Linked DNA regions of Caenorhabditis elegans. The protein of the gene in region 1 interacts with the protein of each later gene in a biochemical or structural test. Each region holds a gene or a part of one and is shown on either strand. Other genes may lie near its edges. The genes, in order: akt-2 and skn-1.

Evidence for each region.
Region 2: of the proteins of akt-2 (region 1) and skn-1, one has a biochemical effect on the other in vitro, tested with the Caenorhabditis elegans proteins (one study listed by BioGRID).

What each region holds. Positions count from the first base shown.
Region 1 is NC_003284.9:14,139,711-14,157,692, reverse strand, and holds akt-2 (Serine/threonine-protein kinase akt-2), read right to left. Parts: upstream 9,994-17,982; 5' UTR 9,987-9,993; coding exon 9,892-9,986; intron 9,689-9,891; coding exon 9,580-9,688; intron 8,688-9,579; coding exon 8,487-8,687; intron 8,444-8,486; coding exon 8,324-8,443; intron 8,100-8,323; coding exon 7,902-8,099; intron 7,431-7,901; coding exon 7,239-7,430; intron 7,129-7,238; coding exon 7,000-7,128; intron 6,953-6,999; coding exon 6,590-6,952; coding exon of another isoform or gene 6,545-6,589; exon of another isoform or gene 6,313-6,544; coding exon 6,133-6,312; 3' UTR 5,725-6,132; downstream 1-5,724. Other genes in the region: ceh-90 (Homeobox domain-containing protein), read left to right, coding at 680-685, 734-868, 912-965, 1,435-1,521, 1,576-1,671, 1,717-1,788, 2,447-2,578; ceh-89 (Homeodomain-only protein), read right to left, coding at 13,502-13,513, 13,865-13,993, 14,050-14,187, 14,231-14,320, 15,393-15,446, 15,493-15,558, 15,709-15,747; nkat-1 (Aminotransferase class I/classII large domain-containing protein), read left to right, coding at 17,623-17,684, 17,760-17,982. UniProt on the Caenorhabditis elegans protein: Acts downstream of PI3 kinase age-1 and kinase pdk-1 in the daf-2/insulin receptor-like transduction pathway. Essential role in regulating developmental arrest at the dauer stage.
Region 2 is NC_003282.8:5,652,741-5,662,274, forward strand, and holds the start of skn-1 (Protein skinhead-1), read right to left. Parts: upstream 7,645-9,534; coding exon 7,516-7,644; intron 4,826-7,515; exon of another isoform or gene 4,676-4,825; intron 4,631-4,675; exon of another isoform or gene 4,578-4,630; intron 3,169-4,577; coding exon 3,030-3,168; intron 2,868-3,029; coding exon 2,443-2,867; intron 2,264-2,442; exon of another isoform or gene 2,213-2,263; coding exon of another isoform or gene 1,983-2,212; intron 1,939-1,982; coding exon of another isoform or gene 1,788-1,938; intron 1,403-1,787; coding exon of another isoform or gene 1,247-1,402; exon of another isoform or gene 1,209-1,246; intron 1,137-1,208; coding exon 815-1,136; intron 762-814; coding exon 609-761; intron 490-608; exon of another isoform or gene 356-489; coding exon of another isoform or gene 127-355; intron 1-126. Other genes in the region: clec-178 (C-type lectin domain-containing protein), read left to right, coding at 1,247-1,402, 1,788-1,938, 1,983-2,212; bec-1 (Beclin homolog), read right to left, coding at 8,600-8,785, 9,397-9,534. UniProt on the Caenorhabditis elegans protein: Transcription factor. Required to specify the fate of ventral blastomeres in the early embryo, and postembryonically for the development of the intestine. Directly regulates expression of zygotically expressed med-1 and med-2 to direct mesendoderm development.

The DNA.
Region 1 (17,982 bases):
AATTGGTATATCTTCAGGCGGTCACCGTTTATCATTTCCTGCTCCATGTGCGGTCTATGCACCTGAAAACTATGTGTCTCCCCTGTATCTACTGTTGCCAGCGATGTGTCTCCATTTATGTGACACTGCATACGCCTGCATTAAAAAACACCACTCCGGCGGTTTCTGACTCTCCAGGCCTTAAGTAGTATATATTCTACTATAGGGGTTGTTCATAGTTTCCTAACGTTGTATACATGATGCCAAGTGAATTATACGCTCTAGGATAGACTCAATTTGGTGCAGGTGCACAGAGCCCACAAGATGCGGAGCAAATGATAAATGTAGGCCGCCTAAAAAATAGACCAATTAAATAAGATTAGTGGAGAAGCAACCTCCGACTAGATCCTACCCGCTGACAGGAAAACCCGATAGGAAAATACACCAGGACAGGTGTCGAAGAAACCCAAAAGAAGAATTCTGAGAATAATAGGTACGATTAACCAGATAATGAAAAAGTACCATTGTACTTTCAAACTCTGCAACTCTCAAGTGTTTCTCTCCTACACGGGACGATAGTCACTATCAATCTTAATATTTTAAAAGTTTATTTTAATTTTTGCTACTGCTCTTATTTCAATAATCTTTCATCGACATTTTAGGTAATTCTCCATCCGAAAAACTTGTTGAAAGCAACAACATGGAGGTAAGCAAGCAAACTTGATGATTTCAAATTCCATATTTCATTTTTTAGAAGAGTAAAAAAACGAGACAAAATTTTAAAATAGCCGAGTTAGGGCTTCTGAAGGAGTCGTTTGAAAAAGACTCACACCCTGGAACTTCTGAAATGAATCGTCTTGCTGGTTTATTGAATCGAAACGAAGCTCAGGTTTGTTGTTAAATTTTAGAAACAAAGTCTACTATTTTTTCAGATTAATCGCTGGTTCAAGGCAATGAGAGTAAAAGTGAAAAAGGCTTCCTTAAAGGTAGTTGAAATTTAATTTTTATGTGAATCATTTTTGTGAATCAGTTTTGCTGAGAAAGTTACTAATTGGGTTTAATGAAATGCCTGTTGTCAATTTTTAATGGGCTCTTTCTCTGCGTTTGTCGCTATCATTTTAATCTTTTCAGTCAATTTTCATAGAAGTATTTGTTTCATAATTATTAAGTTGCCGACGTTTTCCATTTTAATAAGTTTCATCACACTTCTGCTTTTATTGTTTGAAAATGTATTATTGTTTTCATTTTTATGCTTGGACAGCTCAAAAAATCACATTTTACAATTACCGTGTCAGAGAGTTTGATTGAAAAATCCAGTTGAAGTTTTTTTTGACACATACTCGACTTCATTCTAAAATCTTTGCAAAATGCACACAGTTCAAGTTGTAGCGCTGAGCATCATTATCGCATTAGGCTCCTGGAAATATGTTGTCATGTATAAAATAAATTTTGAAGATGTCGAGAGAAGTTACAAGCCAATCGGGAAGCAATGTAGAACTCCTGGGATCTTCGATTGTTCCCGAGCCACCGAGTAGTGAAATAGTATATTTTTTTTCGCTTTGACATAAATACATACAAAAAAAACTTTTCTTGAAGGTGTCATCGCAAGCTCAATACCGATTGGAGAACATGAAACTATTAAGCAATGTTCCGGAAACTTTTAATGTTGCAGGACCGTCAAACAGTAAAATGGTATGTTACTTTTCTCCGAGTTTTAAAATACAGAAACTTCTGAAGGTACTTCTGGAAGCTTACATGAACACTGTTCGGCAAACTTCGAGTGTTGTTGGGCAATCAAGCAGTGAAATGGTATGTTTTTTTCCAGTTTTGAACAACTGGTATGTGTAAATGAGTTCTCACTAAACCTCAAATTATTAATTTCACCCCAAATTGTCAGATGCCATTCAGACGTACTATATTAAAAATGCATTGCAAAGTTTTAATCGACAATCTTTGGCACTCTTATCTAAATTGTTCCACAATATTTCTCTTGAAACCATACAAATTCAATTAAAATCAGATCAACTTTAAAGGCGACGAGATTAAAGCTTTAAATTTTCCCAATGCCAATCCTCATTGAATACTTTTCACCAAAAGCGTTAATTTATTTTATGAGACTTTGATATTTACAAAAAGTCATAAAATTGAAGTAAGATCCGTAGTTTTTAGAACATGATAATTTGACTGGACCTGCTGTAGAATTGAATTATAACTTTTATTTGAGGTTTTTAAAAACTAATGGATAGACGTTTCAATATTGTAAACATAGAAAAAGTTGGGAAAAATGTTCGTCTCATTTGTAGTATTTTATTACTTTAAACGGCTAAAAACATTTTGAAAATTAATTCAGACTCTAACACATATTTTGCTGTGAGAATACAAATACATATAAATAGTGTATTTTTCAAAAAAAAAATTGAACTGTCATGTTTTTCTAAAACTATGACCTAACTGTATTTCATTGCAGCATACAACTCCTATTGTTCCAATTATTCAAGCCAACAATGATCTGCTCACTGTCAAACCACAAGCTCCACCCAATCAGAGTATCGGACGCAAATCATTCATACCCTTCACAATTGACAATATTCTCTCGTAGAGTAGATTTAGAAACAGCTTTTGTAATCAGATGTTGTAATACATTTTATAATAAAACTTCTCAAAAAATTTATGTGTTTTTAGAAAATTTGATTTTTCACTGGATTTTACATATTACATTATACAAATTACATAGCGGGACTTCAAAAATTTTCAAAATTTTCCACGGCGCTTCAAAATTTCAAACAAATGGGATTGGTTATTGTTGTTCTTTGAAGAGTTACTGTAATATTCGCTAGGAGATATTTTGACAGTGCTCATTCTGCGGTAATAGAGGTGGCATAGGGCCGATCCGCATTATTGCGTTGACCCGCGACCCAGACGGAGTCAGAGTTTTTTGCAAGTTGGAGTGCACTCATAATACTACCCCGCCGGGAATTGTAGAAAGTTGAAGAGACGCATGCATATTGAGGACCAGATGGCGGGGAGAAATAGATTGTTACACGAAAAAAAAGATTGTTACACGAAAAAATAGATTGTTATACGAAAAATAGATTGTTACACGAAAAATAGATTGTTACACGAAAAATAGATTGTTACACGAAAAAATAGATTGTTACACGAAAAATAGATTGTTACACGAAAAAATAGATTGTTAAACGAAAAAATAGATTGTTACACGAAAAAATAGATTGTTACACGAAAAAATAGATTGTTACACGAAAAAATAGATTGTTACACGAAAAATAGATTGTTACACATAATGAGGGCCGCAGGCCCGAATATACTCAGAAGTGATGGGCATACGTTAAGCCTATTCTTAGCTCAATAATTCAGGTTGAGGGCCGCAGGCCCGATTACACAAAGAAGTTTTCGACATCAGTTAAGCACCATTTGAAAGTGGAACTTGTTATTTTTAAATTTAATATTAAATCAAATTTGGCCGGTCTTGACAAACTTCAGCACATTTACAGAAGTTTTGAGAATTCACGTCTTTCCAAAAAGTGAAATGTTTCATTGTTCGTTATTTTTCAAATTTGAAAACACCATTATATTTTGGCTCAAACACTTAATAGCAATAGAAATTTCGCACTTTTACAATCTACGCCACACCCCTGAAAGTTGTCATGAACGTTTATATCTCGGCTCTCACTGGACCGAATTTTGAAATTCTTTTTTCTCCACATTCACAAAATATAGCGACGTGTGTTCATCTAAAAGGGGGTTGATTTTGGAGCATCCTGTCGGCTCCACAAGCGGAAAACCACAGCCTGCTTGTTTTTGCGCACACCGAAGTACTGGCCGAAAACCACTTTAAATTGAAGGAAAATTCGAGTTTCAATCGAAAACATTTGAGACTCGAAACTTAAGTTCTCCTTCCCAATACCTATCCATAGTATCCAAATTCATTGTGATATCTCTATTCGTTATTTTTAAAACGATAATTAAAGTTTTGCCAAAATTTCTGCACATTCCCCCTTTTCTCTCACACACACACCCACCTCCCCCTTTCATATTTGGTGTGTTTTCGGTCAGTTTTCACCATTGTTCCGGTCAAATCTCTGTTAGTCTTGCTTTTTTTCCAATTTTTTTTTGGAAAAATGTTGAATACATCGAGAGGAAGCGAAAAATATAATTTTTTTCCAAAAAAGGTGGATAATCGTATCAAAAATCGAAAAATGAACATTTATCTTGAACAATTTGCATTTTTCCATAAAATTCACAAACTTTCCACTATCGTTTCGGTTTTTATGTTAAATTTAGAGTTAATAGAATGATTCAAAATGGAATCTCAAATCACAGCTCTATCCGATCATTTTTCGCGGAGATAGGTTATTTAGTTTTTGCACATGGAAATCCAGTTTTCCTCTGTTCCTGGACAAGTTTTCTACTATGCTTTTGATTTTATTTTCTAATTTTGATAATTTTCACTAAAGAAAGGTAGACAATCTAAATTTGGTCGGCTATGACAACTTTCAGTTGACTAGTCTTTTGGATTATTTGAACGGATTGTTTTCAATCGATCATGTCGATTTGGCAATTGACCATGATCAACTTTTTGGGGAGTTCAAATCTGCTTTGAGCCACCCTTTGTTTCGGAAATGCCATTTTCTAAAACTTCTCGGACATTCGTACTTTGGCACTGAAGATATGGAATTTATATTGAAGAATTTCGATTCGAAATATGGATTCCTGACTTATTGTTTACACAAGGACAAGATTGATAGAAAGCTGGTAAGTTGAAAATATCTTTGCTGAATTATGAGCATATTCACATTTAAGTGGGCCAATATTCCACGATTGGACATCGAAAAAGGCCCAGGATTAACACTAGACGATTTGAAAATGATGGATTGCGAGAAAATGAGATTTTATGATCTCAATACAGTCTCGGCAACAAAACGGAATAAGTAAATTCATTACTGGCTGGCCGGGAATTCGCCGAAACTGAGAAGACTTCAATTGAACTACTGGTGGCATAATTGGACGGGCGAATTATTGAAAGGTTTATCATATTCCAAATGGAATCCAAAACGTAGAGCAAGAATCTTCTGGTATGTTTAATTAAGGTCTTTTCCAAATAATAACTTTCTGGAATTTTCAAGTCATAAAAATGGAGGGAATCATTCTGATATGCATTATTCTTGCTTAAAATCTAGGGGAAAACAGGGAAAAAATAAAAAGAAAAACTACACTTTAAAACCACATAAGCTAAGTCGAAACTTAAGCTTTCTAAGCCGACACCTGATTTCAATTTTAATGCTTAGCCTAACCTGAACCTAAGCCCAAGCCTTACACTTAACCGGAACATATGTCTAAACTTAAGCCTGCCAGTTGAAAATTCAGTTTTTTTTAAATTGTCGTTTCAGTGATGATCTTGAATTTGTGGATTGCACATATGGACTCGATATTGAGAGAAGTGATGGTCTACTCGAAACTATTCTAATCGAAAACTTTGCTATGTACTTTCTCGTATGGCATGACAGATTTCCACAGGATCCCCGAACATTGTTTCACTTCTCGAAATCTGTTTCAATTCCAATTACAACTTATTAAAAGCATTCGTTTTTCTATGTTCGAAAGTTTTGAGATATAATGCACTTTTTTATTAGACATTCAAAAACTGAACTAAATAAATTCTGATAAAAGTTTTCTTTGTTACTTGAACTGAGTATTTGTCTTAATGTAAAAGTACTGTTAAGTCATCCATGTGAGAAAGGTTCATTCCCGAGAAAAAATGTCGGCGACAAAATATCAAGAAAAAGATGTTATCAAGAAAAGGAACTGTGTTTTAAAAGTTTTAAATATACCCGAGAGATGGGTATATGAATCAAGTACTACAGAAAAACATGATAAAAGAGCATTGTCAAAAAAGTGATGCGAAATGGGGAGTTTTAACAGGAAAGGAATGGAAATTAGCCCAGAGGATGTGAGCAACACGAAATGTGCTCTACGCAAAGTTTCAGTTTTTGGAAAGGTTGAAATGTTTGAAAGAGATTTTGTTAAGTTCATGAAAGAGATAACAAGTTTTCAAAGGAGACAATGAAATGTTGACAAAATTGAGTGAATGAGAAAAAAACGTACAGAAAACACAAAAAATTGTTGAAAACAAAATCATCTTATTTCGTATTTGTCAGCGCTTCTGTTCGTATCATAAGATCGTTCCAAGCTTCCCGACACGTAGTATGACGCAAATTGTATGAAGTTGGCTTGTAATTCTTCTTCCTCATCAACTGTCGGAAGTTCTTCCCCTCTACGTGGAGGCGTCAGTTGGACCGGCATTGATGTGAACTCCTGAGTATATGTTAATATCATTTTTGAATCATTGGTTCTCTTATTTCTAGAAACTATGAAAACTGTTATGAAAATTGGAAAATCCTAGTCATTAAACAAAGTGTTGTTTGTGTTTCAGTATCAGTAAAAAAACTAAATGAAATCTTATGTACGTTGGCATACATTTTTTTAAAACTGTACTAAAAATAACAACACTTTGCCCTAATTGTAAATCGTTTACTCTAAAAATTACTCATATTGCTTCTGAAACTTTCAAAAGAATTGAAACGTAACGTACTCTGTCAAAGAAACTCGTGTCCGTTTCAGACATCACATTTGGCTTAAATGGAGGTTCGACTTCTTTTCTTAATGTTGCTTCCCAATCCACATCTTTGAAAAATTCAGCTCTCGAAACTTCACGTGCATCATCAGGACCGGCACCAAGCCGCTTAGCTGGGACCCTTTCGAGTAGTCCAGATAGTAATGTTACGGCTTCTGGGCTTAACCTATTCGGGAACTTCAAATCACATGTCGTAATTAGTTCGAAGAGTTTGCCGTTCTCCTTTGCTGAAAATGGAAGCCGTCCACACATCATTTCGTACATGACCACTCCGACTCCCCACCAGTCAACACTACGGTCATAGTCGATGTCTTCGATAACCTGAAACAATAGACTAATAACTTGACGCGAGAATTGAAAGGCTTTACCTCTGGTGCAAGGTATTCTGGTGTTCCGCAAAAGGTGCTTGTTTTATCTCCATATTTGATTTCCTCTTTGCACAACCCAAAGTCAGTGATTTTGATGTGACCATCTCTGTCGAGAAGCAAATTTTCGAGCTGAAAAAACAATGGAAAAAACAATGAAAAAACATCAAAGTTGTGAAATTCAAAAATTTCTGACAAATACTTCAAGTTGTGATAACCCCTCTCAAAAAGCTTCTACTTACTTTCATATCACGATACACAATATTTCTGTGATGAAGGTATCCAAGAGCAAGTATGATTTCCGATCCATAAAATCTTGTTCGTGCTTCGCTGAATGTTTTGCACCTCTGAAGATGGGTGAACAGCTCGCCACCATTTGCAAACTCCATCACAAAACAGATGTGATATTGTGCTTGGAAACTGTATTTAAGTAGCTGAAAAAATATATTTGTGGCACTGTGTCAACAACTGGGGAATTCAAATATTTTAAATAATTGTAAGTAAGATATATTTGTAAAGTTATGGCAATCGATAAATTTATAGGAAATATGTATTTCAGAGTTTCTTAGAGAAAAAAAATATGGTTCCACGGAAACGCCCGCCCTACTTCGGCACGCCCATGCGCCAGCATTATCACACTCTGTGTACTGCTGCCGACGCCGCGCAGGACCTCGCGCCACTATAGCTACGTGCAACAGAGAAAGGCGATGTTGTGAGGGCGGCGGGAGTGTGGGGCGTATTGTGGTGCTGGCGGGCGAGAGTAGCGCCATCGTTGAAATCCTAGTGTGCATTTATCCGTCTCTCTAAACATGATTTTTTCACGAAAAAAATCATCTACTTCAATTTTCACTGACATCTGCCAACATTGTACACCGACTCAATATTTTTTCGACCAATAAGCATACCGTGAGAAAAGGGTGAACGCAAGCATACAGAACTCGATTTTCAGTCAAAGTGTGGGCCACCTCAGAACGATCAACGACCATTTCTTTTCTGATAATCTTAATGGCGTAGAGCTTATCAGAACTTTTCTCCCTGCACAAAATAACTTTTCCGAAGGTTCCTTGACCGAGAACTTTGAGGAAGTCAAAATCGTCCATCGTCTGCAAAATTAAATAACTACATACATTTAAGAAATAATAGAGATACAAAGCAAAACTTGAATTTTTAGCGGAAAATCAGAAAAAAAAGTTTCGCTCAACCTGTCAACCAAAAAAAACTTGTTGCGCCTTTCGAGTTAATCATTTTTACTCAAAAAACTTTCTTTAAAAACCTCTTATTTCCACATATCAATACGTGGATTTGTTGGCAGGATTTTGAAACTTACCACTGTATTTTTTCTTGGAACTTCCTCTGGTTCGTCGATATTCATTACAGTTGACTCAAAATCATTATCCGAACGGGTGCTTGTTGCGTCCATGTTCACATCACTTTCTCCAGACGGATTCTAAAAAATTTCATGAAAATTTTGAATCTCTTTACTTTCATACTCCATTAGTATCTTCCTCCTGCATGCTGGTATTTCCTGCATTTTCTTTCAAACGATTGTGACTGGATACAGCTTGAATTGCTTCAATCCACATCTGACGGAAGTCGGCGCTATCCGCATAAAATGTGCGTTCAATGACAGTGGTCCATTGGAGACATCGCACGATAAACATATTTGGTCGAGGTTTGTCAAGGCAAACCGTCTGAAATAAAGCATTTTGGTAGTTGCGGTTTTCAATATGGAAACTGCCTACTGGCAATTACTTAAAAACTTATTTGAAGTTCAGCTAAGGTTTTCAAATTTTTACTAAAGAGGGATTTCTACATATGTATATTACTGGGGTACTAACTTTCTGCTTAAAGGTGGAGTAGAGCCAGGGAAGATTTTGTTCAAACACATTTTTAATAATCCAAAATGTCCGAATATCATAATGAAGCATTCCAATAAATTTTAGATTTTTCATAATTTCCGGTCAAAGTTTTGGCAAATTGCCAAAGTTTTGAAAAGTATGAGTTTTTGAAGAAATCGAAAGCAATGTCGAATGTTCCGACCAGGGGTGTGCGGCAAATTTCGAAATTTGCCGCACACGTCAAAAATTTGACAGTACAATTTTGACTAAAACTGTTGATTTTTTCGCCAAAAATTTAGTAAAATGACAACAAATTGAGTTATTTTGATGTTTAAGCAGACACACTACATCTAACTTGTTCAGAAACCAGAGGTGTGTTAAGAATTCAGTAGTTTCGGTGCTCCAAAAAATATCAAAAAATATATAATTTTTCCGATTTTGTTAAGCACGGCAAATTTGCCGAATTGGCCGTGCTCGGCAAATAATGGAAAAATAGATTTGCCGAATTTGCCGAGCTCGGTAAATTTTGAGATTTGCCGCACACCCCTGGTTCCGACCCTTACAATGTTTCAATGGATATAATTAAAACAGATATACAGTATAAAAAATGTTGGAAAAAATTCTTTTTGTCGACTTCCAAAATAATGGGTGGCAAAAACTTAGTAAATTGTCTGGCGCTACTCCACCTTTAAAAGCAACGATTTTGAAAACTTTCTAGTAACCATCTACAGGTTCAAAAACTTACCGCTGCGTCTCTAATCATAAAATTATTCAGTGGCTCTGGTAACGGCTGATCTTCCTTTGGCTTTGACCGGAATCCAAGCAACGTTCCATCTCGAAACAAGATGAAGTACCTAAAATACTGACATCTTAGGATTTAATTTTCATTTATTTCCAAATTAGTTTTGGTTTCCTGTTGGAAGATTTTCATTTCCAATTCAGTGCAATTAAAGTGAAAACTTTTTGAATATCTTTTCATAAGGGACAGTAGCTATGAAACTTAAAACTACTGTACTAGATTGGATACATAGGCCTGGTAAAACAATGAAAAACTTACCTGGGGCGCCAATTACGAATGTGCTCTCCTTTCTTGTGAAGCCAACTTTCAATAACAATGTCTTCTTTTTGTAGATGGGCGTTTTCAGTAGACATTTTTACGCTGTAAATAGTGATAATTCTTTCAGAGATTTTGTTTTAAAAAAGAAAAATACGTCGTTAAAAAAATACAATTAAAAGGTAGTTTTAAATTATGGTATTTATGTACTATACCTGCCCCAAAAATGGAAAACCACGTGTCCCACTACGGTGTGATCTACAAAAAATGCGGGACTTTTTAGCCACAAAAATGTGACGTCAGCACGTTCTTAACCATGCAAAATTAGTTGAGAGCTCTGCGTCTCTTCTCCCGCATTTTTTGTAGATCTACGTAGATCAAGCCGAAATTAGACATTCTGACACCACGTGGAAACCCTATTGGCAAAAATTTTTAGGGCAGATATACTACACGAGCACTTAAATATTACAACTTTTCCATTACATCTTAAAAATTTACAAACATAGTTTGAACTTCATGGTTATGAAACATTTATAACAATTTAGTTTTAATTGATCATATTTTCAATAAGGCTTTGAAGTTTAATTTTTTTAATTCAACACTAATTAGGTTCTACGACAATTTTTCCTCCAAAAAAAAATCTAACGAACTAAGAATTCATAGCTTTGATAAAACACGAAAAAAAAAAGAAGAAAATAGTCGTTGGCTACGAAAGACTATGGGAAAAACAAACACCCCTAGTGACGTATTGTGGCAAACAGAGGAAAAGGACAGAAGGAAAAGATTGCAGACAAAACTTGAGCGGAGAAGCAGAGAAACGCCGGCAAGAGAGATGAGAGAGAAATAGAGATAGCAGCGAAGAGAGGGGATGTGACCTTTTTTGCTGCGGCAGGAAAAAGGACGAAAACAACTTCAGACACTATTTCTCCCCCCGTCAACAGCATCACGAGAAAGGTTGCGTTTGAATATTGATTTTTTTGGAAAGCGAGATTTGTTTTCAAAAAAAAAAAGAAGAAAATTCTGGAATAATGAAATATGAGAAACATGTGCGTGAAACTAAACATTTTCAAATAACGAGGGAATGTGAATTCTGGTGGATCAAGTATAAAGCAAAATTATTTTATGTACGCAATACGTTGCTCACAATTTAATAACATTTAGTAACTTGTTTTCTCTTCAAAACAAATTATTATTCGAATTTAACTTGGGGAAAATTATATAAACCACCTTAAACAAAGATTCAAGTGACTGTATTATTGTTTTGTAATATCATAAATGCGTTATAATGAAATTTCCACTGACACGTGGTGTCAAATTGTCTCAGTTCTGTTTGATCTACGTAGATCTACAAAATTCGCGGGAATTTAGACGCAGACATTTCAACTGAATGCGCATGGCTAAGAGTGTGCTGACGTCATATTTTTTGGGGGAAAAAATTCCCGCATGTTTTGTAGATCAGACCGTGATGGGACTGCCTGCCACCACGTGCACAAGAGCTACTCCACCTTTGCTGCAAATCTCTATTCTTTTGGTTAACTGAACAAAAAGTTTAAGCAGAAAGAGGCGTATTTCACTGGAAGTAGAAGTGTGATGTTATATACAATTTTAGTTATTTAAAGCGGAATAATTTAACGAGGTATTCCTGTGAATTTTGACTGTAGGCGTTCGTCTACTTATTTCCGCCGTTCCGTGCAATTTTAGTAAAAATCTATAATTTTGAAATCTCTAAAATAAAAATGAATTTCAAAAATGTATAATATTTCCTAACGTCTAGTGGAACTACATAGGTAACTTTTTGTCTGGAGTAAAATGGGCATGGTGTTGAAACAGTGAAATATGTGATTTCCTTGTGATATTTGTTGTATGACAACCGTCTTACTTTGAAAAAACCAACGAAGCAAAAAAAGCATGCGGTCGGAAGAAAGTGGTAAACAACTTGCCAAGTGAAAAATGCATCCAAAACCACAAGATGATAAGACAACCGACAAACAAAAAACACAACATAAACTGTAAAATGCCGGTTTTTTAAGTGTCGCAAGACATTAAATAACAAATTTTTGAAGTTTCGCAACTCTCTTTTTCTATATTGTTTACCAGATGTGCAGTTTTTTTTCTTTTATAATAATATGAACTACTAAAAACAAAGAATATACATTTTAGAGATTCCGAAAAAACGACAAAAAAAACCGAAAACGTGGGATTTGATCTCTGAAAATCCACAAACAAGCATGTCAACAACGTCTATTATTCAGTTGTTTTTTGGTGTGTAGTCCTTTATATAGAACAAGGACACCACAAAAACAGAAACGTGCAAAATATAAAAAAAAAGACATATTAATTACTCGTTCTTCTCGCAGTGGACAGATATGAATTTTTATTCGAATATACTGCTATTTTGTATATTTTGTCTGCATTGTTGTTATTAGGCCTGTGGAGTGGGTCGCCCCATTTTTTTTGGGTCGGCCGGGTTGGGGTCGCGTCCCCGACCCATTTTTTGGGTCGGGGTTGCGGCCCCGACCCACTTTTTGGGTCGGGGTCATGTCCCCGACCCATTTTTTTCAAAATTTAACAGAAAGTTATCAAAAACTTGAAAAACTATTTTTTGTCAAAAAACACGTGTAAAAGCTGAAAATTATAAAATTATCGTATTTTCATCAATTAAAAAAACATATCCTATTTTCGATACAAACAAGCATAAGAGTCAACGTTTAAACACGATTTACAACAAAACAAACTTTTTTTTTCAATTTCAGACATTTTCCGAAAATGGGTCGGGGACGCGACCCCGACCCAAAATTGGGTCGCGGGTCGACCCATCTCGACCCATTCAACAGGCCTAGTTGTTATTAGCTTACAGTTTCAATCGGTAGGCACTCAATTTTTGGTATATTTGGAAGCCGATTATCCGAAAATGCACGTAAAAACACGGAATAAACAATTTAAATTAAATAGAAAGTATCAATTAAAAATATTAACAGCGCATTTCAAAAATATTAAAAGTTATTAAAAAATACAACTGAAATGGAATAAAATAACTTGAAAGCAAGACTGATAAAAGTTCACATTTTAGTAAGACAAATAGATAAGGACTGGAAATGTATGTCTCAATTGATATTATTGAGTGCAGGTCCAATAGAGAAATAAATGTAGCATAAGTATTAAAGCAACATCGTTTTGAAAATACTGTAGCTTTGAAATCTCAAACAGGTCGGCAAACCGGAAACATAAAATAAGGAAAATTTAAACAGTTCTCTACAGAGCATGCTTGAGTTCTCGTAAATACTTAACGTGTTTTTGACATGGTGAATATGGGAAATTGATGATTGGAAAGGATCTGTCAACATTTTTTAAAAAATCCTATTTTTCCAAGCAAATATAATAATATGGGTTAATTACAAGTCGTGAAAGGTTAATTAATTCAGATATTATACGATTGTTTTTTTAGATTTGTTAGGTCTGCAAAGAAGGATGGAAAAAGGACCCTTAAAGTAGATGTAAGAGTGGAGTCAGTGAAAATGGGGAACAGACAGATAAATAGTTAATGTGTTATCTTTATTTTAAAATGCTGCTTTTTTGTTGTCAATACAATGGGTGTTTCTTCAACAATTCTTTTTCAGATCGGGTCCTGAAAATAAAAAGTTTAGTTTTGCAGAATATCAAAAAATATAGGGTTTTTCTTCTTACAATTAGTTCATTTTTGTTCAAAGCCATATCCATATTGTCCAAAATAGACAACATATCTCAAGTGAACTTTACAAACATTTACCGTTGTTATTTACCATTCCCTATCAACTTCTCCATCATCATCCCAAGGATAATCGTACGTTTCGAAATCATCCATTTCCACAGTCCCAAATGGCCACCAACCATATACAATTAGTTCAGGCTCTTTAAATGACTGAACGTCTAGTTGCAGTATTCCCCCCGCGACACAGTTCCGATTCCTTGTAGGAATAGCTTCTAGTATTGGATTCACCTGTTCCAGGTCCACTTTCAAATGAGCTCTGCTTCTTTCTCGTTCAGCAGCCCGTTTTTTCTGCTCCTCAGTCACTGGCCTAACAATTCTGAAGTTTGTGCCATTACGCCATTGGAACCAGCGACGAACCTAAACGCGTTAGAGTTTTTTTAAGGAGAATTTTTAAAGTAAAAAAAAAAACTAACTTCTTTTCGAGATAATCCTGTATCTGCCATTATTTCCAAAATTTCATCGTTGTTTGGATTTTTGTTTGCCTCAAAGGCAGGAAGCAATTTGTGTATGATAGCTGGAGCATATTTTTCCGAGTAGTACGCGTTTTGAATCTGTAGCTCAAAATTAAAATTTAGTAGCACAATTTAACGTTACCAAATAATTCTGTGCAGAGTAACATTCGGATAATTCGGATGACGAAGAATCTTCACGTCTTGATCTTTCGATTCCAAGTGTTTGATCTGCCTGAAATTTAGAGTATTTTCAAACGTTTTCTTCAAACATTCTTATTTGAATGTATTAGAATTTAGCTAAATATATAAGCATATGAAACAGTTGAAAAAATGATTCAAGATCAGCAAAAATTATGTGTATCTTAATTTTGATTTTTTTTTATCACAGTGAAATTTATATTCTGGTCTAATTAAACTCGGAATATTTTGAATTATTATATTTGTCATTTTTCTAGTGAGCTGAAACCAATCTTTAACAAATTTTTTTTCTTATTTTGATTGATAACTCAGCGTTTGTTTTAAATTTAAGCACGTTTTTAGTACACAGTAAGTTTTCAGAAAAATAAAATATACTTCAATTAACAAAAATCACATAAAAATCACCTTCCGCCAGCTGCGATACTGTAAAATTGGCAAAATTTAAGATTCTTGTCGCATCGAAGGCGATTCTTAATGTTTGATCCATAATATTCTGACTATTCACATTCCCAGAAAATATTTTATTACCATATTCCCATATTCCCTCGAATTCACATTCCCAGAAAATGTTTTATTACCATATTCCCTTGCTTCCTCACGCCCCTGCTGATCGAATTAAGAGACCATATAAAAGGAGCCGGTCAGTTCCCCAAGAATATACACTATTGTTTCCCCCCTTCTTCTTATTCATAAATAAATATTTGGCCTTATTTCCTTGTCCTACTACCTCCTAGGACAATTCTAGCTATTTTTAAATTTTAATGATTTGAAGCGTTATTAAACATGTTTTTAAGGATTCTTATTTTGAATTTTCAAATTTAAAATTAGAATTATGAATTAGAATGAACAAAAAAAGATGACTTAACATTATGATTTCTTTTGCTTTGAAGCACTTTTTGTTAACGTTTCAACTTACTTCTGGAATTGATACATTCTTAGACTTATCAGAAGACTTCGAACGAGACGAAGATGAAGACGATGAAGATGAAATACGCTTTTTGACTACAGGATTCTGGCTCCTTCTAGTTTGGCGCTTTTGCAAGTTATTATTTAGAAATGATAAATCTTTTAACGGTTTCTATTTTTACAAGAAAGTAAAAACTTACTGAATCCGAATGTGACTTTGTTGTAGCTGGAAGTGATTTCAGTTTGCAAGCTCTCTGCAATTTTTATATTAGTGTGACTATTTTGTGATGCAAATCATACGTTCGGAAGATTCCGTGTTGATTGTTTCTGAGTTTTTGAGTTTTCCGTCTCTCTCCTGACATTTTTCTGAAAATTGTTTGTCTATTGTTTTTACTTAGTTTTAATCCAAATTTGATTAGTTTTTGGCTTAAAATTAGTTCAAGTATCTTTACAACAGAAAATAAAATGTAATGTGTAAAGAAAAATACTTTTTAAAAAATAAAGTTAACAACTTACTGTGCGTGACTTTTTCGAACTTCTTTTTGATGGAGCCATCTGAAAACTAAATAAATAAGTTTTGAAAATGTATAATCTGAAAAGGTTTTTTTTAGTTATTTCTAAGAAAATGCTATTCAATTGTTGGAGAAATGTGGAAATCGCATGCAAATATTTTAGGCTTATAAAAACAAAATGCTACAGAGTCAACTTCGCTCTATCGCACAAGAAGCGGGATGTTAAAAAAACCGCTTTTAAATTGAAACAAAACAGGAAATGTGGGACTTAATGTAAAAAGAGTTAAATCTAGAAGCTAGATAGTGAAAACTAGAAACTAGTTGTGTTATCAAATTGGCCGTATTCTTAAAAGGAAAAAATAAACTTAGAAAATCGATGAAGAGTGCAAGCGCACACTCTCCCAACATTTCTACCCTCTATGTCTCGGTCTCGTACTTTATTCTAATATGCAATCTCCGGTCAAGTGTGTTAGTGAGATGAATGAAAAAATAGGAGAGATATGAGAGCTAACAGATGTTCTTTCAAAACTGACTCCGTTTTGCAAATCAGATTGTGACGCGGGAAAACGCATCAAAAGTGACGCACGCAATGGAGTTGATAGACACTTAGAAAACAAACAAAAACAGTTATCAGAGCCAAGTGCTGGAATATTCACATTTTAGGTAATAAGTAAAACAAGTAATGAATGACAGTGAAATTTAACAGAAACACAAACTAATTGCACAAACTGCCAAATCTGAAAACGCCAAACAGCAGAAGCTCTGCACTCTGAGTTTAATGAAAAAACTGTACTCATATTGTAGTTTTAAATGCTACTACATACATAAGTACAGAACTAGTAAAACACTAATTCTCTCCAAATGGCAAATAATCTTAAAGTACTCTAGATATCTCATAATGATATAACATTCATCTCAAAATTTATTTATTGTTATTCAAATGTGGTCAATTGTCGTTCATTCAAGACACACTTTCACATCGAATTGTTCAATATAAGCTTGGTGATTCTGTAGTTTTTATTATTTAAACGGTACCAAGTTGGGTTTTCTACAATTTTGTTCTTTTGTTCACTTTTCCAGAAGCTATTTGATATTCAGTAAATAGTCTTGCGATCTCTATTAGTCTTGCACTCCTACGGCCCAATTTAAATTTAGTCCAACATGCAAGACTAATAGAGGTCATTCGGTAACTGCATTTCCAAGTCCACATCATTTACTCTACCAAAATCATCAATGAGCATCTGGGTAAGCTGCGTGATGTGGAAATAATTTCTGCTGTCTAGACCGATCATAAAAGCATTGGATTTTTCGACTGCCCCAGACATGGATAGATACACAATAACGAAATATTGTAACAAATGGCGATTGGACAGAAACTAGAAGAACACAGTCTCTGAGGTTGGATGCACTTTTGTGAGTCGGTTTCTTCATATGAAATGGCGCAATCATTTATTTATGAATACTGGTAATAGGCCGTGATTTATCTTTTTATTCTGTAATTTCGTTTTTTTCCATTGTCTATTTTTTGTGTTTTCGGACCATATTACATATTAGGAAATATTTGTAGTTTTGGAAATTTAAAATCATTCATTAAAATTTTTTAAACTGAAGTTAAAAAGGTGTTACCTTGAAGGCTCTTTATAATTTAAACTGTTAAGTTTAATTCACCGTTTGTGACATATTTAGATTACTCGTCTCCTACATTTGTCATGAATGTCATCAAACATAGTTGAAAATGTTTCGGCTTCCAAAACAAATATCACTTAGTGAGAAGCTTTTTGCTCTTCTTCTAACAGACGGTTCATTTTTTTTTCTATACAACTTTTTGCTCTTTATTCGTCTTTATAGAAACATTCTGACGTCGTTTCAAACATTTTTCTTTTCCAGAAACTTTTTTTGCCATTTCAACGAGTGAAACATGTTGACGAATTTTGCGAGACAACCATCTGAAAACGTCGGGGAGCATCAGGAGTCGATTTGGTTAGTTATTCAATATTATGTTGAAAGTTGAATGTAAAAGACCCTGAAGCTCCAACCTAAAGAATATTTTTGCAGGGTAGAGTTCGGAAAACTTGCCATCGAAAATAAGGCGGTGAGCCTTGGCCAAGGATTCCCAGATTCACCAGCACCAAAATTTGTCACTGAGATCTTAAAGGACATCGCTAGTCATCCGGAGAAAATTGAGTCGCATCAGTATACGCGAGCGTTTGGCCATCCAGACTTGGTTGGGATTCTCTCCAAAATTTACTCTTATTTCTACGGTGTGAACGTTAACGCA
Region 2 (9,534 bases), on another chromosome or scaffold:
TTTTAAGCCGCTTCTAGGTTAACAACCCTCTGCCATTCCAAGATATGAGGGAGCCCTGAAAGGAGGAAATGTTGGAATGTCTAGATAGGATGAAAGAGAGAGAGAGAGAGAGAGAGAGATAGGAACCTCTGTCAAAAGTGCTCGAGACTCCTGAATAGGCGTATGGATGTTGGTGATGATGGCCGTGTTGATCCACCTGTTGTTGATTGAACATTTGAAGGTACATGTTCAGTATCTTCTTGGATTCTTCTTCTTGTTCGTCAAAAGAGTTGACAGCTGCTGGAGCGGTGTTGGTGGTGTTGGTGGTGGTAGAGGATGCCAGAAGAGAGGAGGCAAAATCAGATGGAAGTGACATTCGGGTGGGAGTTTGAATTTCAGTCGTTTATAAGAGAGCAAATAAAGGAGGATAAGCTCCAGATTGAGGCTCCGCCCACCAAACTACGCTTTCATTTCAGAAGTTCAACAATGGGCACGCCTCCTTCATTAGTCTCTCAACTTTTGTCAGGAAAAATGATTAGAGCACACGAATTGATAAGAGAATAGATAGAGATAGCGAGGAATAGACGGGGAGAGAAAAAGAGGAGAAAGTGCAACCAGCAGCAACTCACCATCGTTTGGTACAACTTCTGTTGGAAGCCACTGTTCGACAGTCTGTGAATCGGTTACATTGAACAAAGTCTCTGGTTGAGCAGTCGATGTTGTTGGAATTGTTGAAATGGAAACTTGATTGCAGGAATCACGCATCTCTTGCATCTCGGTCACTGAAAAATAAAAAATGTTGAATGAAAACACAATAATTAAATCAAAACCATACAATTTGCCTGATTATAAACAATTCCTTCCGACAGAGAAACATTATTGATAACTGGATGTTGTTGCTTATTATCAAAAAGTTGATTCAATTGTCCTTCTTCTCTTGAAACATCCTCGAAAAGCTGAGCAAGATCTTCATCAAACAGATCATCTTCCAATTCGGCTTTTTGAGTTGGATGTTCAAGAGTTGGTGTCTTTATTTGTTCTCGTTGTTGTTGCTGATGTTTCTGCTGATATTGATTGTTATTGAACGACTCGAAGAATCCATTATAGAATCCTTTCGAAAGATCTTCATATCGAGCATTCTCTTCGGCAGTGAGTGGCTGAAATGATAGAAATTGTTTAAAATTTATTTGCTGAGAAATTTGACACCATCATCTCTATGATTGTTTTCCATTCAATCAGCTTCCCCCAATCATTCCTCAACTCAACCATGATTCTTCTTCTCCTATACCTTCTCATTCCAACTATCAATACCGTAGTCATTCCTAGCCCTCTAAAATCTTCATATCAATCTATTGCTGGACAACGTGCAATAAATCTCGATGTCAACGTGCGTCTACTGACTGTGTTAGCTCTTCAACAAAGTGTAAGTTATCCATGTACTTACGCAATAGGTATATTCCCTAAAGAGTTCGTCCCTGTCTATGACGCATCTCGTCTAAGAGTTTCCAACTGATAGCTCAAAGTCTACTTACGTGCTCTTTTTGACCTACAAAATACTCAATATCTATAAAAGTACGTCAGAGCGGCGGGTCGTTGAATTGTCATCATCGAACGTTGCTCTGGAAAATCGAAACAACGCCCTCCACCGGGTCGAAACGAATCCTAGAAGTTTTACGCTGCGATAAGGTATCAAGAGAGAGACAAACAATGAAAAATAAAAATGACGGCAACCAGGATAAGGCGTGCGAAAAGACTGCTCGGCTCGTTATCGTAATACAGACTAACACGAAAAGTGACGCCGATTGCAGGGCTGGCAACTATACGAAGATCACTGGTATAAGATGTTTGAAACCGACGTAATGTGGATTCCAGCAGAAAATGTGTGTAGATCAATGGGAGGGCACTTGGTTAGCATCAAGGATGAATCCGAAAACCTATTTGTACACAAACTAAGAAAGAGTGAGATATATCCTTTTTCTAATTGAAATTCATTACTACTACAGAGAACAATATTTGGATTGGCCTCAACAAGCTAAATGATACATTCCACGTGTACAAGTGGTCTGATGGTTCGGAAGCCGATTATCTCAACTGGGCATCTTCACAGCCAAATGAGCCAGATGTTGATTGTGCCTACATGGCATTTCATCAAGAACAAAGAGGCACTTGGTTTGATTACGGTTGCCGTGAAATGTTGCCACAGTTTTTTGTATGTAAATTGCCAATGCCATAATGCCAAAATTTCCTATCACTAAATTAGTATTTCAATAAATGAGTTTTTTTTTTTTGTGTTTCCTTAAAAAACCGGAAAATCTTTTTTTAATGGGGGTCTCAATTGCTCAAGTGTTTTCAAACTTCTTTTTTTGATTTTGCATTTTGCTCGAAAAAAAACCAAAAGGACAACCCTGCTGCAGATACTGTAGGATAGGTTTTACTGTCAGAAGCTTCGGCTTTCAAACTCACCGCTACTGTCGATTTCTCTGTCAACGTCTGCAAATCACATTCGTACTGATCAGCAGGAGCCACTTGTCGTGTGCCCTTCTCTCCAGCAATATCACTTCTCCATAGCACATCAATCAAGTCGATATCCTCGAGAGAAGGCGAACTGTACTCGTATCGAGATGATGTGGTTGGACGTTCTGTAGATGGTCCTCTACCGAATGGAGATGCTGGTGGATGCTCGGTGAGTATTGGCATAACTGGAACAGTTTCTACTGGACCATTCGACATGAAATACTCCATCATCCGTTGATCATCACGCCAACGGAGACCCATTGGACGGTTGAATTGTGGATAATCATATTTGGATTGGCCATTGAAATCTTGTTCTTGTTGATGCTGATGGTTGACTTCATCAAAGTTCCTATTATTGCTGTCCGTGTACATTTCTGAAAATATATATCATAGTTTTGTATATTAATTTAAGTTTCAAAAGTGCAACTACTGCTTTTGCTCTAAAAAATTCGAAAAGTACATCTGATTCATTAAAAAGTCCCTAGCGACAAAACGGCTCGAAAAGTGATCAGATGCACTTTTCAAGTCATACTCACTAAATGTCGGTGATATATTGTCCAGAAGATGTTTTGTCGTGATCCGATCGTATGACGATGATTGGATTGAGGTGTTGGACGATGGTGAACTGATCACCAAAATCAGTGATGATGTTGCAAGTATCCAGATGAATATGGACTGAAAATTTGGAATTATTTTTGGGAATATCGAAAATAATATTAACAGGGTGGAAAAAGCAAGGAAAATAAAACCTTCATCAAACATCATCAGCTGTAGAAAATAAGAAGAAGAACGATTGGAAAGAAAAGAAGAAATGTCCCTCTCTCTCATAGGGTCGAGAGAAAATGAGAGAGAGAGAGAGAGAGAGACAGAGATATATAAATGCCTACGTGACTGTTGTTAGTTCTGTACACCGTTTTTCACTCACTACAGACTGATTTTCGATGATGTCATTGGCGTTTGGCCTGGCGCCAAATTTGAATTTCAGATAAATTTTAGAGAAAGAGGACACAGGAAGTCGTTCGAATAAAAAATCAGGTTCGAATTTTCTAGAACAATAATATCAGATGTAAATAAACAATAGAAAAAATTGCGATGATGCAAAAGATTTCGCAATACTTTTCAAAAATTGAATTCTGTTTTTAAAAAAATGCTACAAGACTACCGTAAGAAGTCACTTTTTTAAAAGTTTCTTAGTTTTCAAAAAATAAAACCAAACATTTTTGCCTAGAACAGTTATGTTAAAGTGAACTATGAACTGTCTAGAGACGACTGGATCAGAACAAAAAAAGCTAGAGAGCAAACAAGAAAAGTTGGTCAAATAAACGAGAAAAGGTTTTTTTTTGAAAAATCAATAGAAGTGCTAACGGGTTACTGTAGATATACGGGTTTTTAAGGAACTTGCAGAATTGAGTCGAGAAATCTACAAAAAAACTATTGAAATTGGGAGAAAAGCGAGAATTGCGTGAAAACTAAAACAAAAGTCAGTTTCGAGTGATTGAAATGCGACAAAAAATCATGAAAAAGCGAGAAAGCTTATACGAGTGAGTGAGAATATAATTCTAGATAAGGGCAACTAAAACATTTGCCGAAAATTCGAGTTCAAACTTGCTATCAGTGAGAGTTGAGAGTGCTTGGGTCAGGTGCCTGATTGAACTGGAATTGAAAGAAAAACATACATTCAAAGGCGCCTGACAATCAACAATTCAAAAAAGAACTCCGATTTCTGGGCGGTCCAAAACCGCAAAAAAAATAAAAGACAATTGATTCCAAAAACAGTAAACACAAGAAGTTAGTTGTCGTGTTGAGGTTACCAAGTGAAAAATGGCGTCAAAAAACAGAAAGAAAGGCGATTTCCAGAGACAACGAAAGAAAACCATCGAAACAGTGCACTCGGTGTCCTTATTTCTCTAAGTTCTCTACGATTTGTGCTAACTTGCCGCCATGGAAATGATGACAAATACGAGAGAGCGCGCCGATAGAGTAGATCACAAGACGAGGAGAGATGGCTGAAACTGTAGACACGCAGGGTGTACGAGAGAATGCTGGAAAGCGCATGTCCAATGGGAAGACGCAGAGGTAAAAAAATTTTGTGACCGCCGTGTCTATTTGCCTGAACACAGATAGACACAGACTTGTGGAGATCGAAAATCGCAACTTTTTGATCCGAAATCTTGGTGCGCGGTAAATTAACGTGCGCAGAAAATTGACCAATTAAATGAAAAACTAGAAGAGAAGGCTGCTGTGGGGGCCGTAACGAAGTCAACGAAAGCTGATAAGACCAGCATTGTCGCTCGCCGCTTGCACCAAAGACGACGACTACAAAACGACTACACAACGGCAGGTGAATGTTGTAGCGAGAGGGCGAGTGCGACCGAATTGTTGCAGGCAGGTAGTAGACGGTGGGAGGTGAAAAACCGAAGATCTGGAGAATGTGTGTGTGGATGTTGATGCAATTTTTCATAGCACGTTGCCCTTAAATTCTGATGAATCCACACAGAAGTAGTACAGAGCAGGACTGTGCGGAAAAATATTTCGGCAAACGTACAAAAATGAATATAAAAATGTAGGAAAATGCTCGCTCAATCTGAAAATGATATGTATTTTTGTTGGAAAAGTTTGAAAAAGACTTTCAATTGTGCCGTCTTTTAAAAAGTTTTCAAAAAAAATTTTTTTTTCAAACCGAACGAGCATTTTCCTACATTTTAACATTAATTTTTGATTCAAAAAGTTGATATATTTTTCGAAAAAAGTTACAAGTCTAGTACAGAATACTTTGAAAAACGATTGAAACTGAAACTCACGAAACCGAGAGAACAGTTTAAAACAATTATTCAATAAACTTAATGCTTGGTGGTACTGCTGAGAATAAAAAATTTGTTTTGATTTAATTTCTTCTCAACGCCTAATTTCAAAATGCGTGCTGGTTTTCACGTTTCCAAAAATCCAAGTTTTTTTTTGGAAAGGAACCAAAAATTCAAAAATAAAGCATATCAGTTTGAAGTTTGTGCCAAGACTGATAAGAAATATATGAGAGATGCAAAAGATATCACTTGACGAGAAAAAGAAAAGATTTTCGATATTCTAAAAAAGAGAGGTTTGGGTGCACACGGAAATCGGATACATCTACAATTGAGCTACAACTGAATTATTCAAACCACCTGCGTCAGACATGCATGGGAAAATTGAATTATCCACACACCTTCTTCCCTGTTGATATGTGATCAGAATTCTTCGAAATCTTGGCTAAAAATAATTATGATACTAAACCTGCTACAAACCACGTGTTTTTATTTTTATTATTACTACAACAAAAATAAAAACAAGCGCATAATAGTCTGATATTTGGTTGAAAATCTCAATTAATCAGAACATATCCTGTTTATTTCAGGATATTATGATCAAAAATCGCGAAATTTAGAATATAGTAGTTCCGTCGGAACTCAAAGAACTCAATCTTTCTGTTTGAGTGTACTGTGAGTTTGACATCATATTTGGCTGTTTATGAATTCTCGTAGAACGTGATGTTCAGAATTATATTTCTTGACCTCAACCGTGAAAACGAATAGGTTCAGCATGTCAAATACATTGCAATTCAATTAGAATATAGTAGAAGAAAGCTTCTACTCATATTCTGTCAATAAATAATCATACTTTCAATTTTTACAAATCGAAAGCTGTGATCCGAATTTCAACTTATACCAATTCCTTGATCCATTGCGTGCAAAAACCCAACTAACCATGTCAACCGCACCCATTCACAATCAGACCACAGATATGATTCAAGTCATTTTTTCGGTTTTAAACGTCTCATTTCCAGATGATATCATCTTGCACCGAGAGCGTCAATTTAATCAAACGGTTTGATCAAACATTGTACGTGGTGGTGGAAAACCGTTGTTGATAGTCGCTGTCGGCGTAGCAGAAAAAGTTCGAAAAATCAAGAGCCTCGTGGGGTGTCTATCAGGATGGTAATGCTGCTATCAAGCTGGCATATAGGCAATCGGGGGTTTGCGATTTTGGAGCGACTCCGGCAAGATGTTTGTATAATATACATATATGGAGGACAATGTACAGACAGTAATATTTTAGGCTAAGTTTAAGATTGAAGAGATTGGAAAATATCTGAAAATCTGATGATCTGGCGGAAGAAGGATTTCGGAAGGGAACGGTCTTCTTAGCGGCTCTGAAATACAAAGATCACGCTTTCCATTGTTTTCTTGAATTTTTGAAATTCTACTTTTCAGAGGACTTCGACTTCGTCCTCTGGCATTTACGAACATAGTCGTTCCGGCATCATTATTGCAACAGAGAGAGAGAGAGAGAGACAGAATGAGCCGTGAATAGTTTCAGACAACGAGGCAACTGTGACATTCTACATGAGATAGTTGGGATTAACACGTAACAATGCGGGAGACCTAGATAACGAGAGTGATGTGACTGAAGTGATAAGAGGAGAAGGTGGTCTGATATGGAGTTTGGGAAGGAAAAGCTGTTCAAAGTAAATATGTTACGCGGTCTTTGAGAAATGATCTATAACCGGGTGTAAATAAGAAAAAATGTTTGAATTTGAACTTGAAAAATCATATTTTTGAAAACTCGACTCTCAATTGTGGTGTATTTTCCCTATTTTAGTCTACTCGAATTAATAGAAACTTCCAAGAATAATATATAGGTAGATGATGAAAAAGCTTAAAAAAGCTAAAAATAGGCTCCACTCAGATCTTGGTTATTCTTTTAGTTTTTTTTCTTGTTTCTGAAGAAATTAAGTAATCCGTGAAGAGAAAAGCCATGTTTAAGGTTAAAGCTGGAATTTTGAGCCAAAAATCTTGGGAAAAAATCTACAAATCTTAGTTAAAGTTGGATTTAGAACATGAAGAAAACAAAAATTGTAAATGCAAGTAATATTGAATCAGAATTGCAAGAGTTGACTGGAAAAGTGATACGAAAAGTCATGCTCTCCCGTGAAATGATGATATTCTTCAGGTCTTTTTACTTGATAAAACCAACAAAAAAAAAACTAACCGACACTCCATAAATTGACGTCGTCTCTTCTTCGTCGTCGGCTACCGAAGAGAAGCACTGTCTTCGTCTTCGTTTATCGTCTCGTCTCGTCGCCGACGTACTTCGCTGACGGCGTGATGAACCGCCCATCGACTGACTGGATTATGATAGATCCTGTGAGAATGAGTGGAACACTTCTCTCAACAATATTCGGACACGGACTCGCGGCTGAGTGACCAGAGTCCGATCGACGGAGGAGAAACGCGTGAACGACGACACGAGGCCTTCTCTGCAATATTTTGAGTTACAACAATTTTTTTTCTAGAATTCAGAAAACGGGAATTTTCGGAATTACAAGAACTATTCTAGAAAAAACTAGAAACTTCGTTTTTGGGGAATTGTATTGTCTACAAAAACCTACAGTATTTTTTTTCAAATTTAATTAAAGGAGGAATATAGTTTGTGGGAGGTTTTCGCTTAAAAAAAACTAAATCTGGCACAAAAGTGCCGAATTTCATAGTGATATTTATTTAAATAATTTCAAAAACGTTTATGACTGGAAAAATCGAAAAAACATTCAAATTTTCCACACATTTTGGTCGAAAATAAAAAAAAAACGGTGTTTTAGCTTTAAAAAAATCCAGAATTTAGCAAAATTTGGACCTTATTTTTCGATATTTTCAGTTATACATTTTTCGAAAATTTTGAGGCAATATTAGTAAAATCAGATTAAAATAAGTTTAGTGGTAGGAACTTGATTTCACAGTTTCAGAAAATTTTAATAATCATTAAACCAAGTAAAGCAACAAGAAAGAGAAAATAAATTAGGAAAAATTCAAATTTTAGATAACAGAATTGGTTTCAAAACCAATCAACAAAAAATAACAAAATTTCCTCCACAAGACTGCAATAAAAATCTTTACTTTTAATATATTTACATATGGTACAAGTTTGGGGAAAAGGCAGAATTCCAGCAGAAAATTTGAAAAAAAAAACTAGAAATCACAATGAAAATTGAATATTTTTTAAAGAAGCGTCCCTGAGAAATTGAAAAAAAAATTTCTAGCGTTGAAAATGTTATTCTACATTTGATCCCGTGAAATCACTAAATAGGCGATCTGAGAGCATCGCATTGAGCACACGCAGCTTTGAGATCTGTGAGCATTAGAGCCATTGCACGAGTCCATCGAACATCTGTGTTGAGTGTCATAACTGCATTGTATTTGACACCATTGTCAACCAGTGAATCAGCATGAATTTGATATGGTGGTTTGAAATTTTTGTTTCGATCCTGAAAAATGTATAAAAATTAGGGTGTTTCTGAAACCAAAAAATTATAAAATCGATCTTTATACCGGAAAATGAATATTGTAAATCCATTCTTAACGAGATGTGAAATTTTACAGTTTTGCTCCAAAAATACTTTAAAAAACCCGATTTACTCAAACTCATAAGGGATCGTGCGCCTTTAAGGCCTACGGTATTTCCCAACTCCTCAAGTGTTCACCCAATTATTTAAATAAAATTTATTAAAAAACATGTAAAAACACGCCAAATTTCGTAGAAACGGGCGGAAAACTAGGAAAAATCACTCTTTTTCACTAGTTTCTTTCAGATTTGGGTTGGTTTTATACCTTTTTAACGTAAATCGGTTGAAAAATGGGAGTTGGGAACTACAGTAGGCCTTAAAGGTGCACGATTTTTTTGAAGTTCAGAAAATCTGTCTATTTTTGTATTTTTGAAGCAGAAATCGCATAAACTTTTGCAAATGGGTAATACGAAAATAAATTCACAATACTTATTTTTGATGGATATGTCTTTTTTATTCTGTACAGAGATCGATTTCAAGAAAACTCCCAATTTTTTAACCAACTCCGAACGGCAACATATTTTCCCACAAACCTTGAGCTCTTTCAACAAAAACTCGAGCAACTGCAAGAATCGACGAATTCCAGGATCAATTCCAGATGATCCTGATAGTGGAGTTCCTTGTCCATACAATGCGTACGTTTCCATGTCGATGCCATTACGACGAAGCTT